Linked DNA regions of Arabidopsis thaliana. The protein of the gene in region 1 interacts with the protein of each later gene in a pairwise test. Each region holds a gene or a part of one and is shown in the gene's direction. Other genes may lie near its edges.

Region 1 (7,703 bases):
TGTTTGGTCAATTTGTTTAGTTTTTTTTTTTTGTCATCTGTTTTTAATTAGAGATCAAAAGATTAATAAGAGTTTAGCTAGATCCAATACCATTATACCAAAAAGAATTTTTGTTTAAGTTAAATTAATTATTTTGTTTATTTTTCGTATTAATTTTTTTTAATCAAACGTACAACAAAGGATATTTTTCGTATAGAAGTAAATATATGCCTCGTTTTTATTGCAGAGGACAAGAGAATCAAAAATGAAAAAATTATAGGTTCGAGTATTGGAGTGAGCATTTTGCTTCTTTTAAGTTTTGTCATCTTCCATTTTTGGAAAAGGAAGCAGAAGCGATCAATAACAATTCAAACACCTAATGGTAAAATAAATCATTAGCTTTCATTTCCTTTATTTTTGTCAATAAATTTTGATAATCAAATGTCTTGATTGTTTTTTTTTTTTTTAACGCCTGAATGAAACAGTTGATCAAGTGAGAAGCCAAGACTCGCTAATCAACGATGTGGTAGTATCTAGGAGGGGTTACACATCCAAAGAAAAAAAAAGTGAGTACCTAGAGCTTCCATTGTTGGAGTTGGAAGCTCTTGCCACGGCAACAAACAATTTTTCTAACGACAACAAGCTTGGACAAGGTGGATTCGGAATTGTTTACAAGGTAAAAGTGATTCAAAACATATTGAAAATCTACCACAGCACATGGTTTCATTGTATAATCACATGTGTGGTAATAGGGAAGATTACTTGACGGAAAAGAAATTGCGGTAAAGAGACTATCGAAAATGTCCTCACAAGGGACCGATGAGTTCATGAACGAGGTTAGATTAATTGCAAAGCTTCAGCACATAAACCTTGTCCGGCTTCTAGGTTGTTGCGTCGATAAGGGTGAGAAGATGTTGATCTATGAGTACTTGGAGAATTTAAGCCTTGACTCGCATCTCTTTGGTTAGTGACTCAAACAGCTTCTGTTCTAATAATTGAACATTTTTGTGAAAACGTTAACTTGTTGTTGGTTGTGTTGGATGTGTAGACCAAACACGAAGCTCTAACTTAAATTGGCAAAAGAGATTTGATATTATCAATGGTATTGCTAGAGGACTTCTATATCTTCACCAAGATTCACGGTGTAGGATTATCCATAGAGACTTGAAAGCAAGTAACGTATTGCTTGATAAAAATATGACTCCAAAGATCTCGGATTTCGGTATGGCGAGGATCTTTGGACGGGAGGAGACAGAGGCTAATACAAGGAGGGTGGTCGGAACTTAGTAAGCAATCATTCTTCAACAAAACAAAAAAAGAGCTTTTATCTCAAGTCCAAATATTTTCTTAAAAACCTCATAACATATGAGTTTATATTTTGTTATGCAGCGGCTACATGTCTCCAGAATATGCAATGGACGGGATATTCTCGATGAAGTCGGATGTTTTCAGCTTTGGGGTCTTGCTTCTAGAGATTATAAGTGGAAAAAGAAACAAAGGATTCTACAACTCAAACCGTGATCTTAATCTCCTCGGTTTTGTAAGCTAAAAACCTCTTCAATTCGATATTGTTTTGCATTCATAATCTGATTATAACACTAAAGAAATATTACATCCTTTATGCACAGGTGTGGAGGCATTGGAAGGAAGGAAACGAGCTAGAGATTGTAGATCCGATCAACATCGATTCTTTGTCATCAAAGTTCCCGACACATGAAATCTTAAGATGTATACAAATTGGTCTCTTGTGTGTTCAAGAACGAGCCGAAGACAGACCAGTGATGTCCTCGGTAATGGTGATGCTTGGAAGCGAAACTACCGCTATTCCTCAGCCTAAACGTCCTGGATTTTGCATTGGTAGAAGTCCTCTTGAGGCTGATTCTTCTTCAAGTACACAGCGCGACGATGAATGTACAGTGAACCAAATCACTCTCTCGGTCATTGACGCTCGGTAATTTGTAACTTACGGCCCAATCTGTTTACATGCATATCATTTTATAGGTAAGTCTAAATAGATTTTATTACTACATATATGATTCGATATCTTGCTCTATCTAATTTAATTTAGACAAAAGATTCACCACATGTTTCACATGATTTTGATTTAGAGCGAGAATTATAAAAAAAAAACATTTAGACAAAGACAAAAAAATGCAAGATTTGGAGTTGTCACTCCAAGATTTGAAGTTTGAGACCGAAACTCAATTAAGTGGGAATTCAGTAATGATTAATATTCACTTTTTGTACATACTACTGATAATAGACCAATACTGGAAGCGAACATAGGACTTTATGGCTATTACAACAGAGGACTTTATGAAACAAATCGAATATATACCTTAAACTTTTATGAATTCATCGGTGAAGCATTCTCTTGCATATAACATTTAGTATGTCGCCAGCAACATTGAAATTTTGTCTATTCTCGTACACACACACACAAATGGTTGAGGATATTATTTTTTTGGAGTAAACGAAGAAAAGTCAGTTACTAGGAAATTACAAAACCATAATTATCAATTTAACGACTTTTAAGGTCATTGACTCAATTCTATAGTGACATAGTCTATAGATATTTCAAAAGCGAACAAGAAGACCAAGAAAATGTAGCTGAAAATGAAATATTATCAACAATAGAGAGAAATCGTGTAAATGACGTTCACACATTTCAACACCAAACATGTCGTAATCTCCGAAGATAAAAATTCTCAATTATATGTACATAAAATTTTCATAAGAAGAAAATAAAACAGAACACAAGAAAGTGTCCTAGCTAGAGAGAGAGAGAGAGATGAGAAATGTACCAAACTATCATCATTCTTACTTCATATTATTCATCATAATTCTGTTTCTTGCTTTCTCTGTTTATGCAAGCAACTTTTCAGCCACAGAATCTCTCACTATCTCAAGCAACAAAACCATTATATCTCCTAGTCAAATCTTCGAGCTCGGTTTCTTCAATCCCGACTCAAGTTCACGTTGGTATCTCGGCATATGGTACAAGATAATCCCTATAAGAACCTACGTATGGGTTGCAAACAGAGACAATCCTCTCTCTAGTTCCAACGGAACTCTCAAAATATCCGACAATAACCTCGTCATTTTCGATCAGTCCGATAGGCCTGTTTGGTCGACGAATATAACCGGAGGAGATGTGAGATCACCAGTGGCTGCAGAGCTTCTTGATTACGGTAATTTTGTTCTTAGAGACTCCAAAAATAATAAACCAAGTGGATTTTTGTGGCAGAGTTTCGATTTCCCGACAGATACTTTACTATCGGATATGAAAATGGGATGGGATAACAAAAGCGGAGGATTCAACAGAATCTTGAGATCTTGGAAAACCACAGATGATCCGTCAAGCGGAGATTTCTCGACTAAACTCCGAACCAGCGGGTTCCCGGAGTTTTACATATACAACAAAGAGTCCATAACGTACAGGAGCGGTCCATGGCTCGGAAATCGGTTTAGCAGCGTACCGGGGATGAAACCAGTTGATTACATAGACAACAGTTTCACAGAGAATAATCAACAAGTTGTTTACTCATACCGAGTCAACAAAACCAACATTTACTCGATATTAAGCCTAAGCTCCACGGGACTATTACAACGATTAACTTGGATGGAGGCAGCACAGAGTTGGAAACAGTTATGGTACTCACCAAAGGACCTATGTGATAACTACAAAGAGTGTGGGAATTACGGTTATTGCGATGCGAACACTTCACCTATTTGTAATTGTATCAAAGGGTTTGAGCCAATGAATGAGCAAGCGGCTTTGAGAGATGATTCTGTTGGTTGCGTGAGGAAGACGAAGCTAAGCTGTGACGGTAGAGATGGGTTTGTGCGGTTGAAGAAGATGAGACTGCCAGATACTACAGAGACAAGTGTGGACAAAGGAATTGGGTTGAAAGAATGTGAAGAGAGGTGCCTAAAGGGTTGTAATTGTACGGCGTTTGCTAATACGGATATTCGTAATGGCGGTTCAGGTTGTGTGATTTGGTCCGGAGGGCTGTTCGATATCCGAAATTATGCTAAGGGAGGTCAGGATCTTTACGTTAGAGTAGCTGCTGGTGATCTAGGTTAGTTTTTCTTTGCTCTTTTGGTTTTTATTTTATTGTTTAGTTGACTAATAGGTTCTAAGCCAAGGTCCGTAACATAACGGCTTGATCCACTAGGTCCGACCATATAAAGAGTATATGGTCCACAAAGTATCTTGTTGATGTTTGGTCAATTTTTTTAGTTTATTACTTGAAGATATACAAAATACTAGAATAACTTATATATCAAAAGATTAATATGGCTTAAGCTAGTTCCAATACCAAAAAATATATTAATTATTTTGTTTATGTTATTGAATAATATTTTATCAAAAATACGTAAGTACAACAAAGTATACTTTGGAGTTATTATTATGATTGAAGAAAATATATGCCTCGTCTTTATTGCAGAGGACAAGAGAATCAAAAGTAAAAAAATCATAGGTTCGAGTATTGGAGTGAGCATTTTGCTTCTTTTAAGTTTCATCATCTTCCATTTTTGGAAAAGGAAGCAGAAGCGATCAATAACAATTCAAACACCTATTGGTAAATCAACAGCTTTCATTTCCTTTATTTTTACTTCAATTTTTGATAATTAAATGTCTTAATTGTTTTTTTCTGTGTGTCTAAATGAAACAGTTGATCTTGTGAGAAGCCAAGATTCTCTAATGAACGAATTGGTAAAAGCAAGCAGGAGTTACACATCCAAAGAAAACAAAACCGATTATCTAGAGCTCCCATTGATGGAGTGGAAAGCTTTAGCCATGGCAACAAACAATTTTTCGACGGACAATAAGCTTGGACAAGGTGGTTTTGGTATTGTTTACAAGGTAAACATGACTCATAACTTGTTGAAAATCTATCACTGGCAATGGTTTCATTGAATAATCAAATGTGTGGTAATAGGGAATGTTACTTGATGGAAAAGAAATCGCGGTAAAGAGACTATCGAAAATGTCTTCACAAGGGACCGATGAGTTCATGAACGAGGTTAGATTAATTGCAAAGCTTCAGCACATAAACCTTGTCCGGCTTCTAGGTTGTTGCGTCGATAAGGGTGAGAAGATGTTGATCTATGAGTACTTGGAGAATCTAAGCCTTGACTCGCATCTCTTTGGTTAGTGACTCAAACAGCTTCTGTTCTAATAATTGAACATCTTTGTGAAAACGTTAACTTGTTGTTGGTTGTGTTGGATGTGTAGACCAAACACGAAGCTCTAACTTAAATTGGCAAAAGAGATTTGATATTATCAATGGTATTGCTAGAGGACTTCTATATCTTCACCAAGATTCACGGTGTAGGATTATCCATAGAGACTTGAAAGCAAGTAACGTATTGCTTGATAAAAATATGACTCCAAAGATCTCCGATTTTGGGATGGCGAGGATCTTTGGACGGGAGGAGACAGAGGCTAATACAAGGAGGGTGGTCGGAACTTAGTAAGCAATCATTCTTCAACAAAACAAAAAAAGAGCTTTTATCTCAAGTCCAAATATTTTCTTAAAAACCTCATAACATATGAGTTTATATTTTGTTATGCAGCGGCTACATGTCTCCAGAATATGCAATGGACGGGATATTCTCGATGAAGTCGGATGTTTTCAGCTTTGGGGTCTTGCTTCTAGAGATTATAAGTGGAAAAAGAAACAAAGGATTCTACAACTCAAACCGTGATCTTAATCTCCTTGGTTTTGTAAGCTAAATACCTCTTCAATTCGATATTGTTTTGCATTCATAATCTGATTATAACGCTAAAGAAATATTACATCCTTTATGCACAGGTGTGGAGGCATTGGAAGGAAGGAAAAGAGCTAGAGATTGTAGATCCGATCAACATCGATGCTTTGTCATCAGAATTCCCGACACATGAAATCTTAAGATGTATACAAATTGGTCTCTTGTGTGTTCAAGAACGAGCCGAAGACAGACCAGTGATGTCCTCGGTAATGGTGATGCTTGGAAGCGAAACTACGGCTATTCCTCAGCCTAAACGTCCTGGTTTTTGCGTGGGGAGAAGTTCTCTTGAGGTTGATTCTTCGTCAAGTACACAGCGAGACGATGAATGTACAGTGAACCAAGTCACTCTCTCGGTCATTGACGCTCGGTAATATGTAAGATTGTAAGTTATCGACCCACTCTTTTTATATAAAAATATAGACACAGGGCAGTAAGGTCTCCACACTAGGGGCTGATACTTTGCATCAGTCAGTGATACCTTGTGTAACAAGTTTCCTTTGCCTCCATGGAACGTATACAAAAGTTGTATTCAACTTCGTTGTAAATATAATTAAGATAAAAAGAAAAAACCAAAGAGGGTATAAACCCACAAGGATAGCTACAATTTCCGGAGATCCGGATGAGGAGGAAGCATGATACCAAGCTTGAGAATCCTTACAAAATCCCACTACTGCGATAGCATTATATTTATAGTGAAGAAAAATTGTGATCTAAGATGATACACATGTTCAGTGATCACTGATCAATGACCAATTTAAGTATGTCTGACAAATAGCAAAAGATAATAAGAGAAAAGTCACAAAAGGACGCAAAAGAAGCAGACACACAATGTTTTAAAAGACCAAAAGGAATACCAAATTGTCTGCTTTTGACAAAGAAACAGTCAAATTTCACTTAGGATCTTTGGGGTTAGATGTTGAAAGTTGAACCTTTCTTCTAATCTTCCACAGTTTCTTTAGCTTCACTTGTTTCCTGCAAAACAAATAAACAGAGAATATTACTGAAACTGCTTTGAAATCTCAAAGACTCATCAAATAAGCCTTACTTGATAGGTTTAGGACTCACAGTTTCCTCTTCCACAACACTGAGCAACGCAAATGATCTCGAAACATCGCTTACAATATCTTTCTTTGAACAAGAATTGGAATCAACCGGCCATTGCATTGGTACAACTAAATCACTGCATCATTGTGAAAACATAAAAACATAAATTTCTCATGTTTCAGATTAAATTAACACCACAAAAATTTAACTAACTCACCCTTGAGAGCATATGTATCGACACCGACTTATCTTGCCTTTCGTGTATCGCCTGTAATGTTTCTCTAGATGTTCTGTAACACGAGAAACATCAGTAGATGGCAAAACCTGCCAGATCTTCAAAACTTGTACATGTTGATTATTATTCTTGAAAATATCTATCGCCCAAATAAGACTTAAGCCATCATCAAACTCATGTTGTCTCAACAAATTCTCACTTTCAAACTCAACCTCTTGATGAAGCTCTTTCCCATTAGATAACTTCTCCAAAAAGCTCATAACTCTTTTATTAATTTCCGAGTCTACGATCGTTTCCAGAGATTTCAAGAACTCGTAGCTGAGCCAAACCTTCCATATCGAATTCTCAAAAGAAATAAGCTTCTTGTTTTGAAGCTTATTAAGATCATCAAGTGCTGTTGTTGATCTTTCAATACACTGAGCTAATGATTCATCTTCTTCTGCATTATGGAAACAGTTTCGTGCTTTCGCATCATCTACCAACTGTCTCCACACTGATCTATTGTTCGTTAAAGTCGCTTCGTTTCCAAGAATCCATAAGCAATACCTACAAACAAAAAGAGCTAAATCAAGAAACTGAGCATAGCTAAATCAAGAAACAGAGAAAATGTTTACATACCTCGCACGAGTGAGTGCTACATTAGTTCTTTGTTGGTTAGATAAAAAAC
Region 2 (5,653 bases), on another chromosome or scaffold:
CATACGTGGACAAACTTCTGGGGAAGAATTCTAAAATTTTAAAACTTCATCATCTTAATACTGTGTTGAGAAACTTCGGCGTAATTTTTGCAATTCGACCCTTATATTCTGGATTTCTCTTTTAAATCTTTTCATTCAAAATTATATAAAATGGGAAGCAGCAGCGACGAGACGCCAGTGGTTCTCATCACAGGATGTTCTCAGGGAGGAATCGGTCACGCGTTGGCGCGTGAGTTCTCGGCTAATGGTTGTCGTGTGGTGGCGACGAGTCGATCGCAGAAGACGATGACTGAATTGGAGAAAGATTCCAAGTTCTTTGTGCAAGAGCTCGATGTTCAGTCTGAGCAGAGCGTGAGTAAAGTTGTGTCGAAAGTTATCGACAAATTTGGTCAGATTGATGTTTTGGTTAATAACGCCGGAGTTCAGTGTATCGGACCTTTGGCGGAGATTCCAATTTCAGCCATGGATTACACCTTCAACACCAATGTGCTCGGTGAATGAAAATTTTCGAGTTACTTCTTATATGCACACCATGTGTTTGTTAAAATTCTTGACTCAACTCTTTCATGTTTTATTTTGCTCTGTTGATTTGGGTTGTGAGAAGTCTCTTCAAGAACTGAACTTTGTAAAGAAACTTTGCAGGTTCCATGAGGATGACTCAAGCTGTTGTACCTCACATGGCGTCTAAGAAAAAGGGAAAGATTGTGAACATAGGAAGTATTAGCATAATGGCACCAGGACCATGGGCTGGGGTTTATACTGCATCAAAAGCTGCTCTTCATGCTCTTACCGACACTTTAAGGTTTTTCGATTTCAGCAGTCTCTTTTCATCAGCTTGATTAATATCATCTAAACAGTAAACACTATCTTGTTTTGTGTTTGTCTAGGTTGGAGCTTAAGCCATTTGGGATTGATGTAATCAACATTGTACCAGGAGGTATTCAATCAAACATAGCTAACTCAGGGATATCGAGTTTCAACAATTTACCTGAATTGAAACTATACAAACCGTTCGAGGACGCTATCCGTGAGAGAGCGTTTCTGTCGCAAAACATAAAGCCGATACCCACAGAGACTTTTGCGAAAGAGACTGTTTCCGTGGTGCTGAAGAAAAACCCACCGGCTTGGTACTCTACAGGTAGGTTATCTACAGTCATGGCGATCATGCACCATATACCGATTTTCATGAAAGATTTTCTGTTGACTAAGAGTTTTATGAAAAAGGGAGTAAAACCTGAATAGTTGTGTTCTTGGTTAGAAACTGTTTTAAATGTATCCAACAAAGTAAATGTGTTGCCTAACCATGTTACATCTTTAGTAAAAGGATTAATCAAGGTACTACTTTGGTAGGGTGTGCAAAAACAAAAACAAAACAGTGGCTAAGCAGAAACTTGGTTATAAACAAAAAAAACAGTGCCTAACCATGTTACATTTATAGTAAAAGATCCAAAAGGCCGAACCAAAACCAAATCGAACTAAAAATGAGTTTTTATTCGATTTTGGTTTGTATAAAACAGGTAAAACTTAATTCGAAACAAGATAAAACCGTAAAGCCAGATTGTCTACTAGACTACCCTTATACTTTGGTTTTTGGTACAAAGATTTGTAGGGGAAATGTCATATCATCTGTGATGCAACTTGCAACCCAACAATGCATCATCAGAGGACAAGATAAAAAGTGGTCAGAGGTTCAATGTAAAGCTTACAGCTAAAACTGAGAAAAGTTTTTTTCCCCTAAAGCTAAGAATGGCATGGATGTCCATCATGTTTAGTGAAAAATCTAATCATTTTATTATTCAGCAAAAATTAAACTTATTGATGCCACATATTTCAGTGTATCACTGTATTGTCATCCTTTTAAAACAAATTAGATTACATTCCAAAATGATAAATTACATTCCAAGTTTATAAGTACGTAAGTTAAAAGATATGTTTTTAAGAAAAGTATATGAACAAAATTGACCTGAAAAAGAAAGCAATAAAACTTTTCAGAATGCATGAACTATGAAAGCCAATTCACATCTGGGTCCACCTATATTAATTTCACAGTCAACATTTTCGATTACTACTAATATGTTCAAGTTTTTAAAAAAAAAATTAATAGTCACTTCGAAAATAAACAAAAGCCAAAAAAAAAAAGTCAGTAGGCCACAAAGTCCTTCAGTTCAGGAGGAAGAAGACGACTCTCCTCTCTTCTCATCTTTCTTCTTCTTCTCAGAAAATCACGAAAGATGAATTCAAATCCCTAATTCCTCTCCATAAAACCCAAAACCCTTTTCAGAAATCAAACTCACCACCAATTCCTGACCGTTGATTTGTCGCAGATGGGTAAAAACGGACGGCTCAGATGGAATCCTTTCAGCCACAGATCGTCTTCTTCAACCTCTTCATCTTCACGACAACAGCAACAAGAACAACAACCTCCGGTCGAATTTCTCTGTCCGATTTCAAAATCAGTAATGTCTGACCCTGTTGTTGTCTCTTCCGGTCAAACCTTCGAACGTGTCTGTGTTCAAGTCTGTCGCGACCTCAACTTTATCCCCAAACTCAACGACGACGAAGAATCTCTACCCGATTTCTCCAACATCATCCCTAACCTAAACATGAAATCAACAATCGATACTTGGTGCGACACCGTCGGCGTCTCACGTCCTCAGCCACCTGATTACTCCACCGTCGAGAGAATTTTACGGCAACAGATGCCTCCACCGGACGTCGAGATTCGTGTCTCCGAGCAAGAGCTTCTCAGAGCTGTAGCTCACCGAGCTCCGATGATAATTCACCACGCTGATTCTGAACTCATGGGAAGGAGAGATTTCAACAACTCCACGACCTCTTCTGATGAATCTGTAATCGTTGCTCACAGTCCATTCACTCCTCTTCCTTTAACAACTAGACCCGCTTGCTTCTCTCCATCTCCATCATCTTCTTCCTCCGAAATCGAAACCCTAACGCACCACACTTTCTTCTCTAATTCTACTTCCACCGCCACAGAAGAGGACGAAGTGATTTACAACAAGCTTAAGAGCAGTGAGATTTTTGATCAAGAGCAAGGTTTGATTATGATGAGGAAGATGACTCGTACTAATGATGAAGCTAGGGTTTCGCTTTGTTCTCCTCGGATTCTTTCTTTGTTGAAGAATATGATTGTTTCGAGATACAGTTTAGTGCAGACGAACGCGTTAGCGTCGCTTGTGAATCTGTCTTTGGATAAGAAGAACAAATTGACGATTGTTCGGTTAGGATTTGTTCCGATTTTGATCGATGTTCTGAAGTCGGGGTCTAGAGAAGCTCAAGAACACGCAGCTGGAACAATCTTTAGTCTTTCTCTTGAAGATGATAATAAAATGCCTATTGGAGTTTTAGGAGCGCTTCAGCCATTGCTTCACGCGTTACGTGCAGCTGAGAGTGATCGGACGCGGCATGATTCGGCTCTCGCGCTTTACCATTTGACGTTGAATCAGACGAATCGATCAAAGCTCGTTAGGCTTGGAGCGGTACCAGCGCTTTTCTCGATGGTTAGGTCCGGTGAATCGGCGAGCAGGGCATTGTTGGTGATCTGTAATTTAGCGTGTTGTAGTGAAGGAAGATCGGCGATGCTTGATGCGAATGCGGTTGCGATTCTTGTAGGGAAGTTAAGGGAGGAGTGGACGGAGGAGCCGACAGAGGCCCGGTCATCGTCATCGGCTCGTGAGAATTGCGTAGCGGCGTTGTTCGCATTGAGCCACGAGAGTCTTCGATTCAAAGGACTAGCGAAGGAGGCGAGAGCAGTGGAAGTGTTGAAGGAAGTGGAAGAGAGAGGAACAGAGAGAGCTAGAGAGAAAGCAAAGAAGATTCTTCAGCTGATGAGAGAAAGAGTGCCGGAGGATGATGAAGAAGATGGCGAAGGATCAATTGATTGGGACCGAGTTATCGACTCCAACGGCTCAATTAGGTCTAGATTCCGAGTTGGTGGTAGAAACAGAGTGGTCACTCAAAACTCCTCTGGCTTCTAAAGTTCCATTCCATTTGTTGTTGTATAGTAGACATTCAAAATGTTTTGTGATTGAAATTTTTTGTAAACTTGACTTGAAATATGTGAGAAAAAAAGCATGACTGATGTATATATATTTTGTACAATATATAAAAGATCCATTTGAAACAAACGCATACTAGATATAAATGTAACGCAGATACACAATAGAAGTCTAACTATGTTACAAAGAAGAAAAATTGACTAAACAGCTCAAGGTACAAGATTTGTAAGACAAAAGATCTCGTTTCTACTTTCTACAATATGCGTTACATGAAATAAAATAAAGTGGGTCAGAAACTATCTAATACTAGAACTAATTGGATTTTTTGGTTTGTTTTTACTAACCTTAAGAATGGTGTGGAGGTCCAAAATACATCATACCCGGTGGATGAAAACTCTGACCTTGTTGCGCTTGTTGCTGAGCTGCATTTGGTTGGTTGTTATTATTCATCATATGCGGCGGCAACGTTCCAGGCGGCGGTGGCGGCAGTGCTCCAGGTGGCATTAATGGAATGTTACCAAATCCATAAGGAAACTGTTGTGATGCGGCTGGATTTGGTATTATGTGATACTGCTGAGGATTTGGAGGAACAACAAATGCATTTGTGTCTGAGGTGTTTGATTTGGTTAGACCAGAAGTTTGTGTAGCTTCGGCTGCAAATGAAGAGAGGACAGAATGCATAATCATTGATGAGTTTGTTGATGAGGTTAGCATTTCCGCCATTGCAGCGATTGAGGCAGGAGTGATTTTCGCTGATTGACCAGATGTTCCGTTGTTATTGTTAACCGGTGTTTCGTTATTGAGCCGTTTCTGCATGTTTTGGGCTTCTTCGGTTTGTTCTTGTGCTACCTGATGAATAAGAACAAAGACAGACACACAATCAATTTTGATGCAGAAATACAGTTTTCTTGTACTCAAGATTGCAAAATAGTTCCCAGGCGTAAAGGGATTATTAAACCAATTCAGATTTTTACCTGTATCTGAGATTGAAGATTCTCCAATTCAGATTCCTGATACACAAAACTCAGTAAGTAATTGAAATGTCTGAGCAAATTATTGAACTTGCAAGATTGCAAGACCTTTACCTGTTCCCGTAGCGCTTCCCTAAGATGATTTACGAGAGATGTCCTACTTTCTTCAACAGATTTAAGTTTCTCAACAGATTGTCTCAGAATGTTTTCTTCCTCTTCCAATTCTTTTGCCAATGATTCTTTCCTCGGGTCTTTTGCTGAAGACAATCAAAGATTGAGAGCCAGAATGTGTTTGATAATCCCCAACTAAGAGAGAAAGATATTAGCTAAATTTATACCAGTGGAGCAAGCATCTTCAACATCTTTCTCCATCTTTCTGATACGTCTAACGGCAGACTTGCATTTGTTCATCTCTGTCTCTTCATTTGAGTTCTCTGCACGAACCAAATTGAATGCAGATACTATCTTCTCGGACACACCTCCACTTGATAATTTCTGGTATTAAAAAAAACAAGTGAGGAGATAATGAACCAAAAAATTCAGACTCAGGCAAAACCCCTGAACAAATAACTACGGTTTAATTAGAGAAACAGGGAAAAATTGTTACCGTTTTGGTAGATTTTGAATCTCGTTTTGCAGATTTAGATCCCCGAAATCGCTTTTTAC

Evidence for each region. The genes of interacting proteins can lie anywhere in the genome.
Region 2: the proteins of RK2 (region 1) and PUB38 interact in a two-hybrid assay, tested with the Arabidopsis thaliana proteins (one study listed by BioGRID).

The regions. Positions count from the first base shown.
Region 1 is NC_003070.9:24,470,396-24,478,098, forward strand, and holds RK2 (receptor kinase 2), read left to right. Parts: upstream 1-2,477; 5' UTR 2,478-2,770; coding exon 2,771-4,061; intron 4,062-4,430; coding exon 4,431-4,565; intron 4,566-4,658; coding exon 4,659-4,849; intron 4,850-4,925; coding exon 4,926-5,136; coding exon of another isoform or gene 5,137-5,141; exon of another isoform or gene 5,142-5,221; coding exon 5,222-5,459; intron 5,460-5,562; coding exon 5,563-5,713; intron 5,714-5,801; coding exon 5,802-6,128; 3' UTR 6,129-6,492; downstream 6,493-7,703. Other genes in the region: RK1 (receptor kinase 1), read left to right, coding at 227-361, 465-655, 732-942, 1,028-1,265, 1,369-1,519, 1,608-1,934; AT1G65810 (P-loop containing nucleoside triphosphate hydrolases superfamily protein), read right to left, coding at 6,648-6,729, 6,803-6,937, 7,019-7,582, 7,655-7,703.
Region 2 is NC_003076.8:26,046,515-26,052,167, reverse strand, and holds PUB38 (plant U-box 38), read left to right. Parts: upstream 1-2,121; 5' UTR 2,122-2,324; coding exon 2,325-3,995; 3' UTR 3,996-4,103; downstream 4,104-5,653. Other genes in the region: AT5G65205 (NAD(P)-binding Rossmann-fold superfamily protein), read left to right, coding at 151-493, 643-802, 888-1,242; AT5G65180 (ENTH/VHS family protein), read right to left, coding at 4,362-4,865, 4,991-5,026, 5,102-5,244, 5,326-5,482, 5,595-5,653. UniProt on the Arabidopsis thaliana protein: Functions as an E3 ubiquitin ligase.